2 linked regions of the Cricetulus griseus genome follow. The protein of the gene in region 1 interacts with the protein of each later gene in a pairwise test. Links are inferred from orthologs where the notes say so. Each region holds a gene or a part of one and is shown in the gene's direction. Other genes may lie near its edges.

What was found.
Region 2: the proteins of Mos (region 1) and Sec24c interact in binary tests that used the Homo sapiens proteins (3 or more experiments, as listed by UniProt). The two-hybrid records come from large-scale screens. The link is inferred for Cricetulus griseus from reciprocal best matches to the Homo sapiens genes MOS and SEC24C.

Annotation. Positions count from the first base shown.
Region 1 is NC_048595.1:156,239,243-156,241,831, forward strand, and holds Mos (proto-oncogene serine/threonine-protein kinase mos), read left to right. Parts: upstream 1-979; coding exon 980-2,014; downstream 2,015-2,589.
Region 2 is NW_023276807.1:200,310,100-200,313,841, reverse strand, and holds the start of Sec24c (protein transport protein Sec24C), read left to right. Parts: upstream 1-799; 5' UTR 800-952; intron 953-1,015; exon of another isoform or gene 1,016-1,295; intron 1,296-2,165; exon of another isoform or gene 2,166-2,543; intron 2,544-2,678; 5' UTR 2,679-2,706; coding exon 2,707-2,878; intron 2,879-3,742. UniProt on the Homo sapiens protein: Component of the coat protein complex II (COPII) which promotes the formation of transport vesicles from the endoplasmic reticulum (ER).

The DNA of each region.
Region 1 (2,589 bases):
TCTTCTTTTCCCCCAAAGATATGGCATGAAAATGAGCACTGTATTATGAAAATTGGAAATGATGAGTCTGGTTTGGTGGCCAGGCCCTGAATTTATGTTTAGTGCCTGCTTTTCTGTACTATAGAAGGATTCCAGTGATTCTGTGCCATGTCTGTTCCTCCTGGTTTTCCTGTGCTTATTTACAGCTATGGCCATCACACTCACTTTGTTCCTTTTTCTCTCCCTCCAAGTCTGTGTTAAGTTCCAGTAACTTGTTGGCTGTGGTCTAGAATCTGGGTGACCTGACTTGCCTGGAAAGGAAGGACTGGTAGGAAGTCGGGGTGTTGCTAAGAAGTCTTCTTGCTGTAGAAATCAAATCCATCAGAATCCCCCTTCTGATGAACTTAGGAGGTGTGCATGTTTTGTATCACTGATTCTATTTTGATTAATGACATTAAAGTTACAATTTTTAATTCTTATGAAGGTTGCACCTAATAATCTTGGCAAGTGGTTCGACAAATGCCTGCTATTTGTATTGCAACTCTTGCATCCAATAGCTGCTTGGAGTGATTTAACGCAGCTGAGGAGGACTAGCACTAACAATCATTATAGCCTGAAAAGTGCACAAGTTCACTGTGCTTTTTTTCCTTCTTCAGTCTAAAGACCGATTAATGCTCATCAGATGCTACTTGAAAATCGTTTTCGTTGTATTATGATTAAAGAAATAGTTTAAAGGAGAGGTGAGCCCTGAGGCAGGCCAGTGCTATTTAACCCGTGAGAGGTCGTTTTACTAAGGATTTACTTTAGCCATGCTTCGTCTGCACCCCACCCCCATCTTGCTGAGTGATAGCACAGATGTAGCTCGTTTTGAGAATACAAGGAAGGAGGGAAAGGGGCTAGGGTGAAATCAGGAATCTTCAACCATGCTTCCAGACTCCCCAGGGTTGTTCCTAGTCATTTCTACCTAGTGCCCCTGGTGCCTTTCCTACCTGAAGGTGTGATGCCATCGCCTCTAGCCCTATGTCGCTACCTCCCTGGTGAGTTGTCACCGTCGTTGGACTTGCGACCCTGCAGTAGCCCCTTGGTGGCTCCGGGGAAGGCCGGGAAGCTCTTCCTGGGAGCCACTCCTCCTCGGGCCCCGCGGCTGCCACGCCGGCTGGCCTGGTGTTCCATCGACTGGGAACAGGTATGCCTGCTGCATAGGCTGGGTTCTGGAGGGTTTGGTTCGGTGTACAAAGCCACTTACCACGGTGTTCCTGTGGCCATAAAGCAAGTGAACAAGTGCACCAAGAACCTACGTGCATCCCAGCGGAGTTTCTGGGCTGAACTCAACATTGCAAGACTGCGCCATGACAACATAGTCCGGGTTGTGGCTGCCAGCACGCATACGCCCAAGGGCTCTAACAGCCTGGGTACCATAATCATGGAGTTTGGGGGCAATGTGACTCTACACCAAGTCATCTATGGTGCCACCCGCTCTCCAGGGCCTCTAAGCTGCAGCCGAGAACAACTGAGTTTGGGGAAGTGCCTTAAGTATTCCCTAGATATTGTTAATGGCCTGCTTTTCCTCCACTCACAAAGCATTTTGCACTTGGACCTGAAGCCAGCGAACATTTTGATCAATGAGCAGGACGTCTGTAAGATCAGTGATTTCGGCTGCTCCCAAAAGCTGCAAGATCTGTGGTGCAGCCAGACGCCCCCTCACCACATAGGTGGCACCTACACGCACCAAGCTCCGGAGCTCCTGAAAGGAGAGACCGCCACGCGCAAAGCCGACATCTACTCTTTCGGCATCACCCTCTGGCAGATGACCACCAGGGAGGTGCCATACTCAGGCGAGCCTCAGCAGGTGCAGTACGCTGTGGTGGCCTACAATCTGCGACCGTCCCTGGCGGGGGCAGTGTTCACCTCCTCACCGACGGGGCGGAAGTTGCAGAGCATCCTCCGGAGCTGCTGGGAGGCCCGCGCCCTGCAGAGGCCGGGTGCAGAACTGCTCTTGAGGGACCTGAACGCTTTGCGAGCAGCATTGGGCTGACTCCATCCAGCCTGTGCTTTTTGTTTCTGATTATTTTTAAAGAAGTAAGGGTGGTGTGGAAGAAAACATACCCCTAGGACATAATTTTAGAAAATAAAGTTACTGAAAACTTCAATCTGAAGGGTTTTTTTTTTTTTTTTCCTGAGAATAAGGAGGCTACAGATTTCATGAGCATCACTGCTGGTAACAAACCTGACCCCCTTTATAGTTCTCTGTCCCCTTTCTGGGCTCCTGACCGACTGTATCATCTCCACAATATTGCTGTTAGTTGGATTTGTTACTGAGTGGAAAACAGAAGAGAAAGGGAGGGGAGAGTAAGGAAAGGAGGGAGGGAGGGAGGGAGGAAGGGAGGAAAGAAAGAAGGAAAGAAGGAAAGAAGGAAATGACATGACTACTAATAGGTGTGGTGAAAGAGAAAGTTTATTGTAGATAAAAGGGAGACATAGTCAGAGGCAGGGACATCTGGAAAAGTCCATAGTGAATATGATCCTGAGCCATGGGGGGAGGGGGGAAGAGACGGGAACCAGGTGCAACAATCAGAAGACCCCCCAAAAGGAGAGATAATCAAAATGACT
Region 2 (3,742 bases), on another chromosome or scaffold:
ACAGCCTCCAAAGCCACAGGTAAACCCTGTCTCGAAAAACAAAAACAAAAAAACAAAAAACAAAAAAAATTTTAAAAAGTGTGAATTCAAGGTGACCCTTACATATCCAGTTTCAGAACAAAAAACCGACGGCGGCAGAGGGGGGACGGGAGAAGGAGCAACAATTACTGATTAGTTACATTTATTCTTTAGAGTTATAATTACAGAAAGAATTCTACCTATTTTTAACAGAGATCAGGGAGATCTTTTGGCTCTAGTAGAGTTTGCTTCTGTAAATAAAAAGGCACGGCATAAAATAGTAAACAACTAATCTTTATTGAACACTATACTAGACAATTATGAAATGTCTCTAAATCCATTGCAACTCGATGCTCGATAGGCATTATTTTCGTTGTAGTAAAGAAGTGAAGAAGTGTCCAAGCATTGAACTAAGGGACCCAAACTCGAACACATAAGCACACAACCTCATAGCAAGGGTAGTACCGTGTCACCACCACGCGTGGCTCAAAGGTCGGGGGGTAAGATCTACCTGCGGGACGCAAATCAATGGGTGAAAGGTTAACAGGAAGTGGCTACAAGACTAGAGGTTCTTAATGTGTCACAGCATGACAGAGGAGGCGTTACTAAAATAGTTTTCTCAACACCCTCTCAGCTGGTAAAGCCATAAAGAGTCTGTAATATCTGGAAGAAAACAAAAACAAAAACAAAAACAAAGCATGATTCTCAGGGTTGCTGCCCAGACAGCAGCCACAACGGGAGATAACAAAGGCGCATGCGCGGCATCCGGGTTTCCGGATGCGCGCCTAAGGCCGACGTGGCAAAGGGGTGGCTCCCCCAGTCCTACAGCATGGGGCGGAACTTCCGGGGACGGCACGCCAGCTCCCTCGGAACCGGAAGTGGAGCCTGGGATCCTTGACGTTAGGAACGAAGTCGAACCTGGATCTGGAGCCGGGTGAGGAGTGGCATCGCGAGGTTGCGCGGTGGGGAGGAATGCTGAGGAGAGGCCAGGGTATTTCTGGTCTGGCCGTGGTCCGGTTTTAGAGGAAAGGGAGGAGCCTGGAGGCGGGGTCTGGGAAGAGACCCTCACCTCCCGCATCCGTGACCGGCGATCGGTCCCAGACCCCTCCCTTCACCTCCTGGCCCAGGTTCCGGCTCTCGCCTCGCCTTCCCGGAATGTTGAAGGGCTTTAGAAGCTTGGTCTTTACTGCTTAATGAACCGGCCCTCATCGTGGCCCTAGAGGCTGGCGTGGCTTGCTGATCTCGATCCCTGGAGCTCCCAAGCCTCTGCATCTCGGGTACTTTCAGAGTTCTAGGAGGCTTGCCCCGCCCCTTTGGGTTGTCACCCTCGACTGTCCACCTAGAATGGAGTCAAGATTGGAGTTTGACTCCAAGCTTATTGCGTTGCTCTCTCTCTTGACCTGAGGAAGTTAAAGTGAGAGGGACGTCTCCCAAGCTCACTGTCAGTGGCATGTGTAAGGTTTAGGGTTTGGAAGGACAGTTCCTAAAATGGCTTTGACTTTACAGAGTTACCAGTCCGGTAGCAGTTCATCTTTTGGGCTTTGCTAGCAGACCTGAGTGAGAGGTCACACTCTTCCTGGGCCCCCTTCTGCCTGTAGAATAATTAGAATGATAAGATTGTTTAGATCTGCTGTCCCCCTTCTTGGAATGACCCTTGAAAGGACCTCCAACTCATCCCTCTGTTGCTGGGCAAGACTGCAATAGTTTTGATAGCGACCTATCAAGCAAACATTAGAACAGAAACCGAATTACCCGACATGCTTTTGGATTTAGAATACCCATACTCCTCTGCTTGAGGAATGAAATGAATGAACTTGTAATGGAATATTGCTTGCTAGGTATTCAGGTGTTCTCTACCTTTTTTTTTTTTTCTTCTCTGTGTAGCTCTGGCTGTCCTGGAACTCTCTCTCTCTGTAGACCAGGGTAGCCTTGAACTCAAAGAGATCTTCCTGCCTCTGCCTCTCAAGTGCTGGAACTAAAGGCGTGCACCATGACTGCTCAGCTATTGTTTTTTGATTTTGCTTTTTTGTCTTTGCAGGATTAATACACTGTTCTCATGGAAAGTCTGGGGTCAGAGTATCATTTGGATTATTGTAGGTCAGAGAAAGATGCCATTTCTCCCAGACAATTCTACAGTTGTCTTTTGTGGGGGAGGGATTTTAGTTGATCCATTTTTAATTTTTTTTGTGTGTTAGTAGTTCAAAACAGCTCAGCACATTTGAAGTTACTCAAGTGTTTATTGCCTGAATGGATGAGTTGATGGTAGACAGAATGAATGGAAAGTGGAAACATTGTTTTATTTACTTGTAACATCATGGTATTTATCAGCCAGGGGACTCTGTGTGACTAGACACTGAAAATCATACCACTGGAGAATGTCTGCTGTTCTGTTCCATTAGGTCTGTCTGAAGTTGAAATTTATACCTTCTTGGCAGTGACACAACATGGGGTTCACAGTAACTAAATCCTTGCTTTGAAGAAAGTGACTGGGTACTGGCTGGGGCAGGAAGTTACTGAGATCTGTGGTAATGTGGAAACAGTTTATCTGATCACTGCCTGATAAGGCCAATCCCTTTTTGTCTTTTCCTTCCTTCCCTGAATAGTTGCGCTCTCCTCAGAAAGTGTTTTGACTAATTTCTTTCTTTTCCTTCCTCCAATAGGTAAGATCAAATCGGGGATGCTCTCATAATGAATGTCAATCAATCAGCTCCACCTGTTCCACCATTTGGGCAGAACCAGCCCATCTACCCAGGGTATCATCAGTCCAGTTATGGTGGGCAACCAGGACCTGCAGTAGCTGCTACTCCCTATGGAGCCTACAATGGCCCAGTGCCAGGGTATCAGCAAATACCTCCCCAAGGTATGTTTCCAGGTTCCTTTTGAGTGGAGGAAGGGAATGAGCAGTCTTCACATTAGATTGTATTGCTCTGACGAAGCTGCTTAAGGACTGTGATTAAAGAACATGAATCTGGCTCGCCCCATGAGGCATACAAAGGTATGTCTCACCCTGTTTTTACATTTGTGACTGTTGCCACCATAAGACACCTAATGGGAATGAATTCCAGATTCAATTAACAGCTGACTTCTGTGGATGTCACCCCGGACAGTCTCACCTGGCTGCATTGTTAAGAGCTAGACAAGGGTTGTAGTCACAGGTTTTCCATTGCCTACTGATTTCAAGTTTGCCTGACATCACTTGTTCCTCATACGTGTTGAGAATGCTTATTTGACTTCTAGTTCTGACTATAAAATGACTCTGAGACACATTTATGTGTAAATGAATCTGGGAGGAAAAGTGTATTTGTATGGCTGACTTTTAGTATTCCTAGTCTCTTGTTGTATTTTGTTTTCCTTTGCTTGGGTTTCATTTTCTTAGATGTTTGACAATATCAGTGAAATAAGAAAACTTATTGCATTAGACTCTATGCCCCCAGCCCTCAGTGTTTTGTTTTATGTTACTTTTTCAAGAATAGCTCATTCTCTGCATGCTACCAGGCAGACTTGCAATGTTATTAACAGAAGACTTTTGGGTTTGGCTCTCTGATTACTTAGAGCAATGCCAAATGCTGTGTTGCTTAAGAAAGTAGATTCCACAGGCACAGGCCTGTAATCCTGTGAGGGAAGCTGCAGCAGGAGGATTGTGGGTTCAAGGCCTGCCTGTGCTATAGAGTAAATTCAAGTTCAGCTTAGGTAACAGAGTAAGATTCAGTCTAAAAATAAAAAG